Daphnia pulex: one gene and its partners. The protein of the gene in region 2 purifies or fractionates together with the protein of the main gene of each other region. This does not show direct contact. Links are inferred from orthologs where the notes say so. Each region holds a gene or a part of one and is shown on either strand. Other genes may lie near its edges.

Evidence for each region. Proteins that work in one complex are often made in the same cells at the same time.
Region 1: the proteins of exosome component 10-like (region 2) and exosome complex component RRP42-like purify together in Homo sapiens (affinity purification with mass spectrometry; 6 studies listed by BioGRID and IntAct, counting the BioPlex papers as one, with this or other methods). This does not show direct contact. The link is inferred for Daphnia pulex from reciprocal best matches to the Homo sapiens genes EXOSC10 and EXOSC7.
Region 3: the proteins of exosome component 10-like (region 2) and exosome complex component RRP45-like purify together in Homo sapiens (co-immunoprecipitation; 7 studies listed by BioGRID and IntAct, with this or other methods). This does not show direct contact. The link is inferred for Daphnia pulex from reciprocal best matches to the Homo sapiens genes EXOSC10 and EXOSC9.

The regions. Positions count from the first base shown.
Region 1 is NC_060020.1:2,139,657-2,145,918, forward strand, and holds exosome complex component RRP42-like, read right to left. Parts: upstream 4,149-6,262; 5' UTR 4,005-4,148; exon of another isoform or gene 3,942-4,004; 5' UTR 3,896-3,941; coding exon 3,839-3,895; intron 3,717-3,838; coding exon 3,520-3,716; intron 3,450-3,519; coding exon 3,284-3,449; intron 3,217-3,283; coding exon 3,022-3,216; intron 2,961-3,021; coding exon 2,805-2,960; intron 2,748-2,804; coding exon 2,646-2,747; 3' UTR 2,536-2,645; downstream 1-2,535. Other genes in the region: uncharacterized aarF domain-containing protein kinase 5-like, read left to right, coding at 59-419, 504-662, 738-869, 931-1,096, 1,157-1,327, 1,441-1,684, 2,208-2,375, 2,433-2,535. UniProt on the Homo sapiens protein: Non-catalytic component of the RNA exosome complex which has 3'->5' exoribonuclease activity and participates in a multitude of cellular RNA processing and degradation events.
Region 2 is NC_060022.1:1,680,869-1,687,774, forward strand, and holds exosome component 10-like, read right to left. Parts: upstream 4,320-6,906; 5' UTR 4,137-4,319; coding exon 4,086-4,136; intron 4,015-4,085; coding exon 3,878-4,014; intron 3,815-3,877; coding exon 3,703-3,814; intron 3,643-3,702; coding exon 3,532-3,642; intron 3,464-3,531; coding exon 3,095-3,463; intron 3,026-3,094; coding exon 2,882-3,025; intron 2,823-2,881; coding exon 1,242-2,822; 3' UTR 1,096-1,241; downstream 1-1,095. Other genes in the region: 6-phosphofructo-2-kinase/fructose-2,6-bisphosphatase 1-like, read right to left, coding at 109-415; transmembrane protein 98-like, read left to right, coding at 4,736-4,905, 4,975-5,236, 5,350-5,541, 5,650-5,748. UniProt on the Homo sapiens protein: Catalytic component of the RNA exosome complex which has 3'->5' exoribonuclease activity and participates in a multitude of cellular RNA processing and degradation events.
Region 3 is NC_060019.1:12,893,695-12,900,742, reverse strand, and holds exosome complex component RRP45-like, read right to left. Parts: upstream 4,828-7,048; 5' UTR 4,688-4,827; coding exon 4,622-4,687; intron 4,556-4,621; coding exon 4,461-4,555; intron 4,390-4,460; coding exon 4,217-4,389; intron 4,152-4,216; coding exon 3,881-4,151; intron 3,820-3,880; coding exon 3,595-3,819; intron 3,532-3,594; coding exon 3,257-3,531; intron 3,178-3,256; coding exon 3,140-3,177; coding exon of another isoform or gene 3,119-3,139; exon of another isoform or gene 3,064-3,118; coding exon 2,923-3,063; 3' UTR 2,910-2,922; coding exon of another isoform or gene 2,787-2,909; 3' UTR 2,760-2,786; intron 2,711-2,759; coding exon of another isoform or gene 2,462-2,710; intron 2,193-2,461; coding exon of another isoform or gene 2,135-2,192; intron 2,092-2,134; 3' UTR 2,081-2,091; coding exon of another isoform or gene 1,935-2,080; 3' UTR 1,135-1,934; downstream 1-1,134. Other genes in the region: histone deacetylase complex subunit SAP30 homolog, read left to right, coding at 1,935-2,080, 2,135-2,192, 2,462-2,710, 2,787-2,909; protein FAM92A-like, read left to right, coding at 5,088-5,128, 5,211-5,312, 5,380-5,508, 5,574-6,138, 6,202-6,327; transmembrane protein 208-like, read right to left, coding at 6,415-6,558, 6,617-6,701, 6,766-6,902, 6,973-7,048. UniProt on the Homo sapiens protein: Non-catalytic component of the RNA exosome complex which has 3'->5' exoribonuclease activity and participates in a multitude of cellular RNA processing and degradation events.

The DNA.
Region 1 (6,262 bases), on a different chromosome or scaffold from region 2:
TACTATAAGCTAAGTTTTTATTTATGGAAATCTAGCATAATTAAAATTTTATTTCAAGATCCCTTGTGATAGGAGTAACCATATCAACAGACTATTGGTGGTCATTGAAAAATGTTGATGAAGACTCTGCTGAATATCAGGAAGAATTAAAGAAAACACACCAAAGAACTGCAGACCGAATTCTGGCTGGCTGTCTTGGGAATGGGGGATTGTATATCAAACTTGGACAAGGCCTGGTTTCCATGAATCACATTTTACCAAAAGAATATCTTAATACACTTAAAGTGCTTCAGGACAAATGTCTTGCTAGAGGGGCCACTGAGATTGGGCAGTTGTTTGAAGAAGAATTTGGGAAGAACCATAAAGAATTATTTGAGGCATTTGATGAAGAACCTATTGCTGCAGCTTCTTTGGCTCAAGTATAAATATAAAGTTGTAATAGATTAAGTAATAGACTGCATAGATTGCAGGGACAGGTGTAAATAATCAGAATTTTTGATCAGGTGTTTAGGGCCAAATGCAAAGATGGAAGAGAAGTTGCTGTAAAGGTTCAGTATATTGACTTGCAGGATCGGTTCAATGGTGATATTGCTACAATCGAATTGCTACTAGAACTGATCAGTTGGATGCATCCAAAATTTGAATTTAAATGGGTTCTCAAGGTACGAACGAAACAACTAGTAAAAATCATGCTATTATGTATTAAGGTTAAAGATATGTTTGTATATTTAATGCAGGATCTGAAGGGTACTCTTTGTAAAGAACTCGATTTTGTCAATGAAGGACACAATGGTGAAAGATGTGCCAAAGAGTTGTCATCGTTGCCTTATGTTTATGTCCCAGATGTCGTTTGGGATCTGACTAGCAAGGTAATATATGCACTAATTTCACTTCGTTAGGGTATATTATAAATTTTTTTTAACTGTTTAGCGAGTCTTAACGACAGAGTTTATCGATGGGATTAAAGTGAGTGATACAGGCAGTCTAGAAAAAGCAGGATTTTCAATAAAAGATGTTAGCCACAAACTGGTTGAAATGTTTGCAGAACAAATTTTTCACACTGGTTTTGTCCATGCTGATCCACACCCAGGAAACAGTAATCAAAGAATTGGTTCTTGTTGTTTCAGTGAGACTCTAATTACTTATCTCTTTGTAGTCTTAGTTCGTCGAGGGAAAAAAGGCGACGCACAGATAGTTTTGCTGGATCACGGATTATATGAAGAGCTTCCGTCTACTGTTCGCAAATCTCTTTGTCGTTTGTGGTCTTCAATAGTGCTAAACGATCACGTCGGAATGAAGCATCATGCCGCTGCCCTTGGAGTGAATGGTTAGTAGTTTCTCTTTCTATTATCAGTATTTCCGTTGTCATTTGAAACTTCGTTAGGCAAATTTTTTCTCGTAACAATTTTGAAAGTTGGAATGGGTTTGTATTATGACTAGATTACCGATTGTTCTGCATGGCCGTGTCACAGCGCTATATTTCAGCGCCACCATGGCCAACTGAACACGATTCAGTGAATCAGGTCTTTGCTTCGTTTTACGATCACAAGGGGCCGAAAGTAGGAGAATGGCAGAAGATGACAACCGAACAACGTCAAGCAATTCGAATTCAAATGGATGAAATTCATGAAAGGATGATGGATAGCTTCCGGGCCATGCCTTCTCAATTGATGCTCATTTTTAGGTATTTAGTTGATTGCAGTGTTGGTCTGTTGGTCTAGAACTAGGTCAGGAAGCGTACAACAGATTCTCAATTTTGCTGCATCAATACGTTAATTTAAGAATTGTTTTAAAATTGAAACTTTAAATAAGATAAAACGAAGAAACTCTTTCGCGGTCTTTTTTGTATAGACTATTTGCTCTTCGCTGAAATGCTTCTTCAAAGACCCATCGGAAATCAGAAATTCGCTTTATCCAACTTAAATCAACTTTCTGAAACTGATTTGAAATACATGCAAGAAATGGCGGGGCAGCGTTTCGACATGATCATGAATAACCTTCGTTCCATGCCAAGAACAATGCTTTTAACTATTAGGTAATACTGGATATTGAATTAACAATAAGCTGTAATCCTTAGAGAGCTGTGTGATGCAGCAAAATTGATAAATTTGTATCAGCCTACTGGTTTTAACTAAGGGCAGCTTTCTAAGTTAAAATTAACAGATTTATTTTATGTTTTGTTTTGTTTTTTCCTTTTTTTTATAAAGGAACATAAATACAGTTAGGGCAATAACCAAAGACCATGGCAGTCTTGTCGATCGTTATACATTGATGGCCAGAAGTGCTACTCGAGGATTTTTCATCGTACCTGGTGCTTCATTTGGTCAACGTCTACAAGGAGTCTTGCAACAATTTCTATTTGACTGGCGATTGTGGTAATTTTAAGATGTCTCTTTCATTTACGTGATAACTCAGTGAATTTTTTTTAACAGGTGGGATAAAACACAGATGAGGCTCACCTTTTGGGGCCTTCGTGTGTTATTTTGGCTTGGTCGTGCACCTGATATGACAATTGTCGTACAAATGGTTGAATGATTTCATTAGAAATTGTATTTAGTAGCAGGACACAAATGTCGCGTGAAATTTGTAATTGCAAGAATTCCTTTGAAATATTCAATTATATATCCTTTTGTGTTAAAAGACATTTACCGCATGAAGCCAACTTTTTGGGATACTTCCAACGTTTCTTCTTCTAGGAGCTTTTTCATCAAAATTGTGTTGACCACCGCGCCTACTTCACTTCCCGTCTACTCAAACAAGAAACATTAGACTGCGGGATTGTAAAGAATAGAAAAATTTCGAACCTTGAGCATTGACACCAGGCTGTCTGGATGCAAACTTCCGGAGCCAATTTTCCTAACGGCAGTAACTTTTTTATTGCCTGAGACCGCCACAACAATACCAGAAGAGCTGCAGCATTCTTCTTCTGGTGTTGGATCTACTAGGTAATGGTTTCCAATCTGAAAGTGAAAACACAGTATTCGACTAAATATTTCAAAATTAAAACTTTAACTTTCAAACCTTCATCAAAGTCACTACACAAGGAATGTTCTCTGTGTTCAGTCTCTTGGTATCATAAGGATCATCAGAGAGCTCCAGTTCAGGTTGATCCCCGTCCATAGTTGCTACTTTAATAGAAGGAATTTGTGTTGCATAAAGAGCCGATTTCACAGCCAATGAAACTGCATCATAAAGGTTCCCTCCACATTCAAGAATCTATTTTAATGCCATAAAATATTTCATGAGAAATTGTTGATTGGTAGAAATATCACACCAGCATTACCAATATGTCAACATACAAGACCCAACATTGCTGTCCTGTCAAGACAGAAAGTTCAGATAAATTAATTGTATCACCTGAAGCATAAGATCTTTGAAGGAATCTACAAATTTCATTTGCCAGATCTTCTCCACCTCTCCCTTCAAATTCTGGTGTTGCATTTGCAGAGCTAAATTAACAAAAAGTACTATTAACATAAAAACTTTTAAATTCTATTTATATTTATTGTTTAAACAGACCAATCCACAAAGAACTCCAGCCTTCCTTCTTTGGGCTTATCAGGTAAAGGGGAAGCTAGCTCTACTTTAACTCCAACAAGAATATCAGAGTTTGCAAGTCTCAGCCTTGCCGATCCACTGGCATTTGAAACTAATCCAGTTTCAAGAATTATAGGGCGATAATCCAGCCTTGTTCTACCATCACATCGTAAATCATCCTTGGATATTTCAAAAATTGAATTTTGTTAAGTAAGGACAATTTATTTTTATAAGAGCTGATTGATTTAAGTATTACAGACCAAAAAATTTTACTGGCAAGACCGACAGAATTTAATTATACCTGGACACCATGATGAATGAATGCTTTCTCAGCTTCACTTAAAAGTATTTCTGCCATTGATATGGAGCTCAAAGGTAACCAACGATACAGAAAACAGTAACAACTAACAAACGCAGATGACTTTAATCAAAATACCACGGGAATGTAAGTAAACTGTAAACCTTACCAGACCTTACTAGTTTTCAAGCTAGTATGTTTGTATATGTCTGCACTCGACAGTTGTCTGCTACATTAGGGCAACGTTGTCGGACATCCGTCAGGTTCAGATTCTAAAGACAGATTTAATTGGTTTATTTATTTGCCAATTGCGTTTTTTTACTACAGTACGCACATTGATTGCACGCCATTTATTTTTACATTATACATGATTTTATGCGTGTTACCATACGTTTTACATTATACGTGTTACCATTTACCATGGGCATGGAGAGACCTCTCCAAACCCTTGGTGTTACATAAACATTTGGTATTCATTTTCATATTGGTTATTGATTGTAGACCCACCCCCCAGCAACGTCAACCTCCAGAAGGAAAGGCCAGCTTTTGCATGTCCTTGACGCTCGAAGGTCATGGAGATCATTATGTAAAACTTGTCATGCAATGGTGTAGAGGTTGGGTGAGAACGAGACGTTTTACACAACCATTTGGTATTCATTTTGATATTGGTTGTTGTAGACCCATCCCCAGCAACGTCCGACCTGCAAAAGGAAAGGACAGTCACACTTGAAGGTCACGGAGATCTTTACGTAAAACGTGTCATGCAGTGGAGTAGAGGCTGGGTGAGAACGACACGTGTAGCATCATTATCAAGCAGGTAAAATAACCGCAAGGCTTAAGAGGTGAGGGTGAGAAAAAATCGTATAAAAGGCGAGAGAAAAGGCGAAGGTAAATCAGTTGAGGGAGCATCTCCGACACGGCAACAACTGCAGCGCTCTGTCTGTCAATTCGCATGGTAAATATTCTGTCTTTTACGTAGAGTTTGGTATCAATCCTTCTTTTGTTTATGTATGCCTGTTATTATGTAATATTTATGTTAAAATTGCTAATTGTCTAGCAAACTATGGCGTAGTGCTGCTGTTGTGTGTTGAATCATCGATGGCTGGGTCGACCACTGGTGTACCGATGTCTTCTTGGTATGGCGGATACCAAACTGCAACGCCGCCGCCTTACTACCCAAAAGCAACTTACGCAACGACCAGTTACTGCACCGAGGTCTTCAAGTACTACACCACTAAAGCACCGGACTTGAATAGCACAACTTACGCTGCCCCGAGCCACTACACTGCCGCCCTGAAGTATTTCTCTGCCCCGAGTTACTACACCACCAAGGCGACGGAAGATGACTACGCATGCTGCCCCATCCTCCGAGGCTCATACACCGAAGCTCCTAAGTATTACTCTGTTCTCATCTACTTATTGCACCGATTTTCCTAAATACTACTCTGTTCCCAGCTGCTACACCGAGGCTCCCGCTGATTACTACACCGAAGCGGCAAAGTACTACTCTGCCCCGATCTACACAACCATAACTGAGGCGGCCAAGTATTACGCAGTCCCGACTTGCTACACCAAAGCTGCTCTTTCGTACTACGTTGAACAGGAATACTACATTGATGCTCCAGTTCACTACACCACGACCTACGCTACACCGCAGCCCACAAGTACTACACCGAAGAAGCCGCCTACAACAACGTATGCTGCCTAGTTTACTACACCGAGGCTCCCAAGTACTACATCACTAAGGCACCGGATTTCTACACGTCTATGTGTGCTACCCCTGCCTAGTACACCGAGGCCCCGCATTACTACAACACTGAAGCGCTCAAGTACTACACTACAACCTGGCTTCCCCGAGCTACTACACCTACGTCCCGAAGTATTACTGTGCGTTAAAGGAGTCTTCAAAAAAAGGACCACCAATTGCTTTCTTCATCGTGTAACCGATTCGCAATCATGGGTAAATATTCTTATTTTTACATTGAGTTTTGTATCAATAATATTTTTTTCTATTTGTTAATATGCCTGTTACTATTTAATATTAATGTTTCAATTTATTTTGTTTAGTCAACTATGGCGTCGTGCTCCTGTTGGGCGTTGTATAGTTGATGGCTGGGTTGATTGCTGGTGTAGCGATGTCTCCTTGGTATGGCGGAAATCAAACCGCAACGTCGCCGCCTTCCTACTAAACTTACGCAACGACCGGTTCCTGCCCTGAGGTCTTCCAGTACTACACCACCAAAGCACCGGAGTTTTATACCACAACTTACGCTGCCCCGATTCACTACACTGATGCCCTGAAGTATTACTCTGCTCTGAGTTACTACACCATCTAGGCGATGGATGACACCACACGACTACATATACTGCCTATCCTACTACACCGAGGCTTCTAAAGTATTGCCCTGTTCTCAGCTACTTATTGCA
Region 2 (6,906 bases):
TTAAAAAAAAATCGGACAATTTTTGCGATAGATGCGGCAACCCAGTTTGACAGAAGAAATTTAAAAATTTTAAAAATTATATAAAGGACAAAATAAAAATTGTATTACCATTTCTCCAAATTGTAGTGGATTGAACTCTCCCTTTGTTGGATCGCAAGGTCAACCATTTCCGTTGGAACCCTTCAAGCAATTCATCGATTATATCACTTTTCGTTGTCACTTGCTCGGATTTAACTGGATGTAGCGATGTGGCAGTTGCGTCTGTACGACGAAGGTCATTTCCCGGTGGATCAGTGGGAAGAACTGGTGTATTCACACACTCGAGCGGAGATTTGGCCATTTTCTTTAGGGAAACTGCATTCCCATTAGTCTCCCATCGTATTTGTCCATTATCAGACCGCCGACCCACTTCCATGACGACCAGCTGCTCTGCAAGCTTTAAAACCTAAGTGGAATGTTAAAGATTATTAGAGGATAATTGAGGTGTAGTTTGTCGGTGTTCCTTGTTCAGATGGCGACGAACGACTGAAGGTTCAACTTGCCCTTTTTCGCATTACCCGCTTTTGAAAAAAGCGATTCAAGTCCAGATGGAGGTGTAAGTGCACTTCTTCATTCACTACAATTGGCGGAGCAATGCGCCAGAAAGCAATTTGGATTGGCCAGCCACATAAATTTGCGAGTTATCAACCTTGGGATATCAAAATTTTTCGGCATCATCAGAAAAATAAAAGATTCATTGCAAGCGAAACCGCAAGCTCTGTGCAAGGGAAACCCCAAAAGAAGTCATTACCGCGTTCATTCCACGAAAGGATTTCGTTGTAGTTGTACGTATGTTGCAATCAGCCGGGAGGAAACCCTGAATGAAACCCTAGAACACGACATTCATCAAATGGTTAAAGTCCCATTAAAATCGGATGGTTATTCATCCGCTGCTAACATTAGCTTGCCACAAGTGTCCCAATTACTTTGCTGATTTCCGTTATTACTCTGCGTCGTCATATTTCAAATATCCAAAGGACTCGTCCAAAGGGTAATGTTCTCGAGCTTTTTGCTAATTCAGATTCCGCCATTACATCTGACACGACAAATTGCTTCTTTCTTTTCAAACGGTGTCTTGTTTACTTCAAAACGATTGAAAATCGAACAATTTTTAAGAGAGGATAAACAGGTTCACGGATTCATCCACAACAGTACAAGAATACGACGTTCAAAAATTAATTTTCAAAAGAGTGTAGATTAACTTATTTCGATGAATACGTAAGACTCTTTTGGCCACCCTTTCTGTGGATTCTGTTATTGCTATGTCCGGGACCACCTCTTCGGTTTTTGCCACCACGGCCTCTTCCTCGACCCCGACCGCGTCCATCACCATCTTCACGCAGTGCGCTCCTTTTAAAAGCGTGATAATCAACCTGGGAATAATCAAATGGTTCGAAATTAGCCCCGCTGTCATTTCCTGCTTCTTTGCTCGCCGGTCGTTTTAATGATTTTTTCTTCATTCCTGGATTGGGGCTCTTGGATGTTGCTGGATTAGGGCTCTTGGATGCTGACGGCACTACTGCATCCGCCGACTTTTTCGATGGGGAGCTGGAGTTTGATGGAATTACAGATGTTTCAGGAGTAGCCGTTACTCGTTTAGTACTCCCTACTTTCTTCTTCTTCTTGTTAAGTCCCTGCGCTTTCAACGCCAACTTCTTTTTCTTCGCAGGAACTACTGCTACTGCTTCCGCCTCTTCTTCCATCGCTTCCGCTTCACGCTGGGCATCGGGTGTTGAATGCGCCACTTCTTCCATGAAATGTTGGCGCAACTTTTCGACACGTTGTGCTTCTGCGGCTTCTTCGGCCGACTTTAGAGCTCTGACACGAATATATCTCGTGTATGGAGAAACAAAATTAGTTGATACATTTGTCACGATGCCAGAATGAGCCGATTCGGCGAAGATTAGAGCTTGTGGGAACTCTTTTACAGTGACGCGGACTCCAAACTCCTCGGATCTTGACGCCATTGATTCGATCGTTTGCGGATTCAGCAGAGTGGGTAGGTCGTCTCGGATGTCCTGAGAATGTGTCAAGTCGTGCATACAATAAAGGGGGTCTTCGGTGTCTTGATCCAATGGAGTCGGCATCATTTTCGGGATGGCTAATGGCTGGCCGTGATGTTGTAGAGTGGCGAGAGGCATTTCTCTGGCTTTTAATATGATTCCATGGAGATGAAGTAAATGCTGACGAACGAGCGAAGGGATAGGTGAACAACAGGCAAGGATACCTTGCATCTCCTTAGGTAGAACATCGGCGATTTGTAACAACATGTGTTTGGGTAGAACAAAACCAGTGCTCTCGTCTTCTTCTCGAGCTATTCGATCGCGCCAAGCAAACAGTTCTTTTAATGCAAACAGCTGACGTTCGTTGAAAATCTTCTTGCTGAGCCTATACAATTCCAAGTGACTTTCGGCAGTGATAGGGGGAATTCTGTAACGTTTGAGACAAACCAGTCGGCTGTTTTGCCAAACTGCTGTCAGCAAATTATCTCCTGTTCCCTTCATCTTCAAATCCTTTTTCATCTTTTCGTAAATGTATCCTAGGTAGTGGGTATCTTCTCGAGCATAATTGACCATTTGCTCAGGCAAGGGACGAATTCGCCAATCGGCTAGCTGGTATTGTTTGTCAGCAATAACTTGGCAATAATGACGAAGGAGGAAGGACAAGGACAGCTGTGCAAAACCCAATAATTTGGCAGCGTGATAAGTGTCAAAAAGATTAACGACGTAGATACCGAAATCGCGCTGAAGCCACTGAATATCCATATCAGCTCCATGAAAAATCTAAACGAAAACCAACAAAATAAGTTTGTTACTTCTTCAATTAAACAGTTAGCTCATACCTTAACAATCTTTGGGTTGCAGAAAACTTCATTTAAAGGCTGTAGTTGATCCCATAGCTCTAAAGTGTCTATAATGTAGTCAGAACTGCTTGTTGAAATTTGCATTAAGCATGTTAGGCCTTGAAAGGATCTATATGAATGGGCCTGGCAATAAATAATTAAGGAACTTAATAAGGTTCACCAATTTAAAAACTGCTAGACAGTGAATAATACCTCCAGATCTACAGCAATCACAGTTTCCTCAAGCAAAACTTTCAAAAGACTTTTTAAACCTTCTTCAGTATCTATCATTACCAAAGGGATTTCTTGAACACTTGGGAATGGAGGCACTTCATCAAGTACGGTGAAGAACTTTGGATCCGGTGTAAAACGTTCCAATTCAAATTCGTACGGATGGCTAAACTCTTCATCGCCCAAGTCATTCAATTCTAATAGTATCGCCAGTGGTTTCAACGAATGAGGCTTATCTTTGATTTTGGGGATAAACGGTCCAGGTGAATTCTTGATTTTCTCTTTGAATTTCAACTGTGGTCTCAGAATGTTTTTAGCAGAAAGAAGTTTGTAAGAGGTTGCTGGTGAACTCTGTAAACAAGATGAATACTTTATAGATTCAGCATCTAAGACAACAATTGGTATGAAAAACTAGATACCACAGAATGCCGATTCCAACTGCCATTAATATTTGTAGTTTTTGCCATCATCTCAACAACTACAGTTTCTGCTTGTTTTTTTAATCCAGCAGCTTCATCTAGAGAAAGATTCTGAAACGAAAGCAGTTTTTTTTAACAGGTGTAAAATTCTAATAATTCCTAGTAGCATACTATTCGCTCCATCAAGATGTCATTGTTGTCCGACACCAGCTCCATCTGCTCTTCCAAATCCAATTTTCCCACCTTTCCTGTTAGTCCATAGTGTCCGTAAATTGTGGTCATCCTTGACAAATAAAAATTTTAGGATCAAACAAAATTCTTATACTTAACGGTAGCTGTAACTCACAAGTTAGTAATGCGACCACCAAATTCTTTCATTGCGCTGGCATATGCTGGATAACTTTGGTAGTAATCCCAGTCTGAACCACTACTTGGTAATTCATTAGAGTACTTTGTGACCTTCATTGCACTTTGAAATAATTTCTAAATAAACAGAGAAAATCAAGTTGTGACTGATATGAAATTTCAAAATGTTTGGCCAGCCAATGCTCTACCTGTTGAACCTCTTGGGCATTTCCATTCTTCTCACTTTCTTTTTCACTCATTTTAAAAATATTCTCTGATCATCAATTGCAACAAAATCTTATTGCGATTATTCACAGAAAACATTAAGCACGTGAATCGCCTTGTTTCAGTCTCGCCGTTGACCAAAGAATCATGCTTTCAGAATCCACTTGTCGTCTGCTACATTATGCATGTAATACACCGTTAGTTAAACAGTTGATTTATTTATTATTAAACTTAAAAAGGATCTATATTACTTAATTAATTGAATATCTATGAACAAGTAAAATATTTAGTAAATTTAGAATATTTTTCAACCCACGACTAAATATTTTTTATTCATTTGAAAATGCTATTGCGCTTTAAAATTCTGCCAAGGGCGTTATAAAAGTTCCCCGAAAATAACAAATCAACAAGTGCCTTGACCATCATTCTTTTCCATAAAATAATAACAATTTTAATCCCGCCGTAAAAATGTTTGCACTAGTTGTTTATTAACTTGGACTTTCGTTATTGAGTACTTATAAAGGTTCACTGTGTCATCCAAACTTGTCGTTTTTGCGAAGGTAACTAATATATGACAGACGCTTGAAACGATCGAAAGATTTTCTTATATTGCTTTCTTTTTCAGCACATAACAATGCACGCTGTTGTCGTTGTGACTGGAGGGATTTTGACTTCCGTATTCATTGCTGCTCTCCTTGCGCTATTGTTTATATGCAGATATAAACTATGTTGCTTTAATCTTGGTTCTAAATTTAAGAAGAAGGAACAAAGCCCACAAGTGCAGCAGAATGGATTCCATGTGAGGTAACTATCTCAAAAACGAACAAAGACTTCTTTCGCAGTTGGGAGTAATTTTGCTTTTGAATTTCCCAGTAGGTCTGATATTCATCTAATCAGTAGCCTAGAGATGGAAGATGAAGACTACATCATGGACAATATTGATCCTGAAGATTTAGTGATTCACCCTGACTTGGACAAAGTTCTAGAATCTCACAGATGGAAATGGGTGGACGATGCCCTTGGAATTGTTCCTCATTGCCTTCAGATTTTAAAAGGCTGTCACTTGATGAGTGAAAGGCTTGTGACTACAGCTATGGCTTCTACAGATCAACAGAGATTTGTTGAATTGGCAATGGTACAACTCTCATTATCTAAAAGAAAAATAATTGCATGCATTTCTGTTATGTTGGAATTCAGTTGTGACACTCCAAAGATTACTATGTGTCTGAAAGTTCTGTTGTGTTTTAGGTTGCAAAATCTGTCCTTCCATTAGTTGACGACGTCTTGCGTTCCATGTGCCCACCCATTCAACCACGCGATGTCGAAATCCGAGCCTTTGCCCTCTTGAATGCTGTCAACCGCTTGAGCAAACTCACCGAGCGAACATGCAATGTGTCGTGGCCATCAGCTATTTTCGAAGAGATGAATATGCATTACCAGGTAACGTGCATCTTTTAAATGCTACACGACTTGTTTGCTTGGAAACGCGAACTGGCTCTGAATGTTCTCGATACTATCTGCTTAACTTTTCATTAATTTGTACTGCAGAAACTCAAAGCCATCGCCCGGCGCTCTGAAACTCAATTATGGAACGAACGAAATCTTTACAGGGAAGGTGTGACCATAGTCGAATCATCCATGACTTGAAACACGAATAATCTCGAAAACCTTCGTAATCTCCGTCCAAAATATCACAACGTATCTTAACAAAATTAGCCTCACTAACCTAAATGCACAATGTTCGTTACAGTGGACTCATTATAACGTCTGACCAAGTAATGTACCTTTATTAATGGCTCTAACGATTCAACTATCCTTTTTGTATTTTCCTTTTTTAAATGTAACCACTCGTTATCAATCAAAGTTCGTTCCAAACTATTTTGGCAACTTTTTATCTTTTTTCAAAAATAATAATGGTTCTGATCCTTTTGTTTACGTCTGCCACGTGAAAAACAAGTTTTGGACTCGGGTGTGTAGTGAACCGTTTAAATTTTAAAAAAAAAAAGAGAGAGCGAGGAGGGGGAAAAAAAGTTTGGCGGCAGATCACGTTGTGGCTTACACAACATTATCAAAAAGTTTCAGTTCTAGGAAATCGATCGATGACTCCGCTCTCAAATAATACCAGAAAATGCCAAAAAGTCTGACTCTTCGGGGTGGGCATTGCGGAGCCGCACTTCACCAAATTGGGTAGAACAAAAGAAAGCGTATGGAAAACCAAACCAAACAAAAAAATTACCATGGTCAATAATGAAAGTTTGAATCCCCCCGTATTTTTATTTCTTTTAGAAAAATAAAAAAAAGCTGCGACATTTCCATATCGACCGACGGACTCACCCCCCCACTTCCAGCAGGTGCACCAAATCTGTTTGCCTTCATCAGAGAAAAATAGTCGAGAGTCTGTGGCAAGTTTTGAGGCGATCTGCAGCTGGGAATATATGGGCTTCCATCATCCCGTGTGTCCGTCATTTGTTTGCAAATGTCTAACAGGTATAAAACGAATGAGGAGGGGAAACAAACTATCGAAACCGGCCACCTGCGCGGTTTCCCTGGAGCGACAGTCCACGTCTGCCGTTTTCACCGCGAAGCGTTTGCATTGAAAGGAACAACATCCGCATCTGGTTTGGAAAGGGGATAGATAGACAACAATTATTGGTCTCTGTGGAATGTTCGTGAGTGGACCAGAACAACCGTCAGCCTCTTTTCAGAGAAGTGCACGCTCTGTAAAAAAAAAAAACGACGTGGTACATTTACCGAGTGCGACATGTGCTGGGGTTAAAGTCCGATAATAGCGGCTGCTGCATCCGG
Region 3 (7,048 bases), on a different chromosome or scaffold from region 2:
ACCCCACCGTTAACACACACACACACACGCAACGTTAACACAGAAATATAGGATGGGGAAATCTATATGCAAGCGGGCCCTATCTATCCTGAATCAAGGAGATGGTATAGTTAGAAATCGCCCAAGAAAACATCTGCTATCCGACCTAATATATGTATTCTTTTAGTTAAGAAGCCCTACATGATTATAGTTAACTTGGCATTGAAATCTCAGTTTATTATGACTTATTTCTCGTGAAAAAAAGGTTATTTAGTACAAGTATGTAGAATAAAACCGGTTGGGCGCATTGACGTTATTGGACAACTATAGACTGGAAAACACTAAGCCTAACTTTCGATCGCACACGCTATCTTTTAGTCGTGAACTCTACATTATTTTTAGCCATTCATTTTACGCGAGAGTGATCAGAATTTGGAAATTGTGATTAAAGCGCTTGTACTTTTAAAAAATATGGCCGAATTTGAACAAGGAAAACTGAAAATTGATAAGAAAATAAACAAAAGTTGAAGCTTCAGTGGCCAGCCAAACGTAGCGCCACTTGCAATCCTTCCAGAAAAATGCTATGTGAAACTTGAAAGAGTCGTATCTATAATGGCGATTGGGCTGAGCTAAAATCGATAAAGGAAGAGCCGGGTTAGGGGACATAGAAACAAGGAGAAGCCTTTATTGTTTTGAATGGCCTGGCGTAGTGGCGTTTCTAAATAATGTGCCGGTCTGCTGTGGACCAGTTCATAATCTAGATTTGAAAGCACGTCACTTTTTGATTTTTTTTTCCCTGTATGTCGGCCATGTTAAAATGTAAAATTTTTCGTTAGAATAAGGATTGCAGAGGACTCCATCTTTGACACGATAAGCTCATAATTATTAAGGAATGTTTTTATTTTATTTTTTAGGTTAGAATCTTGGAAGAGGAAAGCTTGTCCCCGCCATCTTGCGTCACTAACGTTCTTTATTGTTTCAAATACATTTTTTTGAATTCTTGGTGGAATCGATAAAGAGAAGAAAGAAGTTGTTATAATATTTGTTTCGCATTACCAGCAACCTGGATGAGAATTGAAAACAAAACCCACGAGAGATGAGATTATTAAACCTACTTCAATTCCTGGCAGACGATTATCTTCCAAGAATCGTTGATGTTGTTGTTGTATGTTATTGATAACAGTCAGAACTACAGAACATTTGCAATTTTACATTCCACAGCTCAAGTAAACCACACGTAGGCCATACGATGATTACATTCTATGAAATAAGTCGCTTTTAAGTGGGAAAATGTTCACACAACTCTTATTAACAAACGTTTTTCGGCACAGGGTCAACAGTCGAAATTCAACATTTTCTGTGATGATAATGAAGTACACGTTGCCCACGGCAGAGGGCGCGATATCTCGAACTTTTCTTTATGTTTTATTTAACATACAATCGTCTTAGAAAATCAACTGAATTTTGAAAATACTTTACAAGTTAAACTTGTTTTACTTTAAATTATTTGTGAAAGCCACATGGTAAAAATATTTTCTATAAAAAAGAACCAGCAACAAGGGAGTTTAGAATTTTCAGGAGACATGACGGCCCTCTCGATCAAGCGCGTCTGGATACCGTTTTCGTAGCTTGAGGGAGAATAACAAGTGTGTTTCAACGACGAACGACTTGTGTAGGCTTGCACTTTTCCTAAAAACTCGATTGGATACATTGAAAAGTAGCTAAACAAAAGTCAATTATTGCGAAGAATTAAGGGGAGATTTCCTCCGTTTTCTTAGTAGGTTGTACGGTAATCGTGAGATTTCAAGTAAACAGTTTGTTTTGGCTTACATACGCAATTCGTGAAAAAGCGTCCACAGTTCGTTGTGTACGTTGTAGTGAAAGGTAACTTTCGAGATTGCCTTTGTTGTGACTTTCGATCAATCGTGCGAGGGAGCACTCAGCATATTTCAAAGATGAATGGGTTTAGCACGGGTTCGGGTGAGGAGGATTCGCGTGATTCCAAGCGAAGCCATGATCAACATTGCTGCCTGATTGAATTTGATCAGATGATTGACGATGGCGAGAGATGTCCTAGAATGGCTGGAAATGCCTCTTACAGGTATGTGTGCTCTAATTGATCAAGAAACATTATTTTCAACATTTGTTTGATTAGTAAACGGATTCAAAAGACTGTACAACAAAGGAAACTACGGCTACACATGGACTCCTCTGTAAGTTATTCACACAAAGTTTCAGTAGGGACAAGAAAACCCCCTATTCAAGGGTCCTTCGTGTCCAAGTAGAAATTACCTGTCTTTTGCATTAGGCTTTCACTTGGTCACAAATTGCCCTGGACTTTTAAAAGTGTTGGAAATCCTGAGCATTCCCTCCGCTTTTGGAAGACCAATAAAGGCACAACCACTGTGGATGTTCCCTTGTCAGTTTTATTCAAGATTCATGAAGTATTATTTAACTTGTGCATTATTATTCTTAATTATAGGCCAGACACATCTATATTTGTGATTACCACAAGAGCTTAATTCAGTCTGTTCGAGTCCGGCAGCGCAAGAGGAAAGATTCTGAAGACGACTCCAACGAAACAGATCGAGACACGCTCAGTCTGCAAGAAAGAGAACGTGATGCTCCAGAAGTTGATCTCTTCCAACTTCAAATCAATACGCTAAGGCGTTACAAGCGACATTACAAAGTGCCCACTCGACCAGGCCTCAATAAAGCACAACTTGCAGAGGTACAGATATTGCCTAGTTAACCTACTATTATTATTATTAATTACTTACCAATAATCCTCGTGATTGAAATGATAGACCTTGATGCGCCATTTCCGGACTATTCCCGTGGTGGAGAAGGAAGCCCTCCACTCATTCCTTTACACCGTCAAATCTAATAAAAACAAACTCGATCTGAAACCAAACAATGACAACTTGTAAAACCGTGGTCTGTCTATGCTTCAACCCCTCCCCCAGTGCAAATCACGTTAAAGCACGTTTGTCTTCGAAATGATGAACTAGCGAAAGGATGGAACTCAAAAATATGCGTGCGTCTGTTGTTTTCTCCTTGGCATGTTTTAATTATTAATTTAACCTTGTAAATTCAAATACATTCGAACGAAAGGTTTAATCGGTGCATCATAGTCATTTTATGTAAGTTCGCTGGTTACCAACATGACAGGCTCCTCTTCACTATCATTTCCAACATCTATGTAATTAAGGAAACGGTGAGAAAATTAGATTTGAATGCCGATAGACGAGATACAGGACGAAACCAATGTTTTTACCTATTTCTTCGTAGACCCTCTTTTTTACTGCCACAGGTGGGAGTGGTTCAACTTCCATCTCACTTTCGCTGCTGGACGTATCGCAAGAGGTTTCTAATGTAACAACTCCTTGATCGTTTACAAGTTTCGTCTTCGTGATTGCCGAAGGTTCTTTTTTCGATACTTCAGCCTTATGATGTGACGCCTTGAAATACACTTCGGCCTGTGACTGAGTGGTGATTCTTTCTGTTTCCAGCGCTACGCTAGCAACTAACCCACTGTACTTTCCTTTGGCTCTACAAATATTGCAAAAAGAGAATGTTATTCACTTTCGGGTGCCGAAGAATTAGGCTGAATACCTTTCGGCGGCATCGTCAGCCAGAGATTTTTTTAACATTTCAACCATTTGAACAGCTCTTGATGCTGCCACATTCGCACACGATATAACTGCTTCTTTATGGATAAACACCCCATCGCCAGATATCTGTAATGTGCAAAGTTCTCGGTATGCATTTAAACCCATCACAAGTTTTCCATCGGCAGAACGTTCTTCTAAATTTGTTGGGTCCAAGACGCAAATTCTCCTATGGGGAAAGTTATAAATACATTTTCCAAAGGGAAAACAAAATATAGCGATCTAGTTACCCTTGGTTAAAGAGAGCAAAGGAAAGAGTTAAAGGATGATGTAGGATAGTGAGTGGAACTGGATCCCGTTCATCTAGCTGATGGATGATAACATCCCGACCATCGAGAGTTACATCCGGTCTTTTAAAGTGACAAAGAGCGCCTAGAGCAGCCAAAGTGGCAGCATCAATCAGATTTCCTTCATGATTCAGTACATGTATATCAACTCTCACTTCCCAAGCTTGTTCCTCAACCAAAATGCACAGGCTCTCCAAATCAATGCAGCGGGAATCTGTTTTTAAAATAGTTAATGTAATAAGGGCCATTGATGTATGAGTGGCAATGTATGTACATTACCTTTAATGCACCTTTCAACTAGCCTATTGACTTCAATGCCTTGTTGTCCTAATCTGCCAGCTTCAAAATGTTCAGCTGCCATAGTAGACATTTCAACATTGATAAACAGCATGCCTTCATTTGCTCTTGATGATTTCGGGACTTGGACACTGCAAGAAACTTGCGCCATCACCCTGACAAAAGATTCATTAAGGATAAAACACGTTAGAAACAAGTACTGAAAAATGACACTAAAACATGATACCTTGTGTTTCCAAGAAGGACCTGGCAGCATCCCCATTCTGTTCCGAATGTAATACAAGTCTTTCTCTGTTCCGAGAGACTACGCCCGTCAACTCTCTAAGAATGAATCGTAAACAATGTTAACAAAATTCGAAAAACAACAACTAGACCTGTGAGAAATACTTGTCCTTCTTTGACGCCTTGGATTACAGTTTGTTTCTCACAAATCGATAGCGGTGTTTCTTTCATTTTAAATATAAACAGTTGATAACTAAACCAGTGTATAAAAGAATTAAGCACTATTTGACGATGGAAATAAAAAGAACGAATAATTCTGCCCGACTGAAAAAGAACAATATTTAAGCAGACCACGTGCGTGAATGACAGACAACGTTGCCACTCGAAATCTTTTCTCTAGATTTAGATAGATTTATGATTATCTTAACTTCTATTCCTAAATATCAGGAAAGATAATTTTTCATTAAAAAAAACTTAAATTTTATAATAATACAATTATTTCCAATATTTTGAAGCAAACCAAGCAGCAGCGTTTAAAATTTGGAACGATCCGTTACCACGGTTACGGAAACATGGAAATCAAAACAAGCACGGAAGAATAGTATTTTTTCTTATAAACGCTGAAAAAACAATGTTTCGTTCACCAAGCGCCAGCTCTTTGCCACACTCAAGGTAAATTTATCTTTGCTGTAATTTAAGAAAAATCTTAAACATGTACATAATTTCTTGTTTCCAACCCTTGTAAATCTTGAAGTGCAACCCAAACGCGCTTCATACAAAATAGAATTCAAGTAATCGAAAAACACTTTGGTGAGATCTGCACCGCTCTAGCGTTATACACTAGAAAAATAGCCGGGTTAGTTTAATTATACCTTAATTCGATGGTGTTCGTAATAAACATAACCTGTGAAATCTAAATTCAGTCAGCGGGATAAAGGCGATTTTCTGGCACAGACATTAAATGAGTACGCTACAGCAGAAAATGTCAACAAAAATTGCAGTCAAGGTATCAAAGACTTTGCCGATAACATTTCTTTCATTTCAGATTACAGGTAAGAGTTTGAATTCGTAACGAAAAAATTAGTCAAATTAATTAACCGACTTTATTTTTAAAAAGAGATGTTTGCGTTAACCGTTTGGAGGAAACTGTCATCCAAGAGATTTCAAGTTACGCGGGCGTCTGCAAGTCGGCCATGGAGGACGTCCGAAGCTGTAGCATTGCGTACGAAAAAGAAATAAGTCAATTAAAATACGTTCACAAGTTACGGCAGCAAAACCCGTTGGGACGAATGCAAATAAGCAAAGCGGAAAGTGATTTAGCACACGCCACAACACAATCTGTCCGACTAGGCAAGTCTATAGAGGAACGAGCCGACAAGCTCGAAAAGAAGAAGCTCAAGGATCTTATTAGCTGGATGAAGCGATTGGCTTTAATCGAAATGAGTTTTCACTCAACGTCGTTGTCCGTTCTTACAAAAGCCTATCAGCAGTTGGAAAACGTCGATGTGGAATCAGATTTGGAAGAATTCCGCAACACTTTAAGGACCTATATGCCTCTTCCAGAATCCAGTCCTGCCAGAGCCCAATCTGTGCCGTCAATTGCGTTGCCTAACACACCAACAGAAACTGCGTCCAAGGTCAAACGTTCCAAGTCTTTCTCTGATTACAGACAGCGAGCCGAGGTATCTATTCATACTAAATCTTGGAGTGTTGATCAGTTCTGTGATATGGATTTTGTTTTACAGTCCCTGGATTCACTGAAGGTGGAGGAATATGAAGAGTTAAAACAAATGGAAGGCTCAGACGATGACGACGAAGAATCCGAAGAAGAATCACCTCGCCCGCGATCTTCTCACGTCCGGCGCAAATAGCTGTTACAAATAAAGAGGTCCAGAGTCTGATTTATTTCAAAGGTATGTTAAATACAAAGCCAGTACAGGGAATCTTTAGTATCTCTTTTAATGCTGTTGACGCTTGATGCGGCGCTCCAATTTGCGTTGCTTCTTGTCATCCTGTGCATCCTGCTCTGCAGTTGGGGCTTTCTGGAAAAACCATGGACTAAGGAAATGTTTCCAAGCCAAGTGAAACAGTCGACAGGGAATCTAAATAAGATAATTTTAAGTAATAAAGAATAATGAAATGAATTTCTGAATAACTTACCACCAACAAGATAAGCCAAAAGTAACTGGAGATGGAAGACAGAACCTCGGTTGCACTTACTAGGATAATGGCATCTTTAATTTGCCTTTAATAACAAGAAAATGTGTTGACATACAAATTCATGAATCAGATCACAATTGAAAGCTTACTCTGATATTCCAGATTCCATGTTGAGATCAATTCCACCATCTAACAATTGTCCTGTTTCACTGTATTTGGCTCTAGCCATGTAGGCCATAAAGCGATAGCAGCAAAACTGAGCAAATGAACTCAGACATATTAAGAACTGAAATTCAAAAGAATGTGAGCTATAAATATTAAAATTTTAAATAATAATTTAAAAAAATCAACTATACAATATCAAATGAAGAGGTGGTGGACCAAAAAATGGCAGAGAATAATAAGTATACACCCACTGCCACAACAGACATA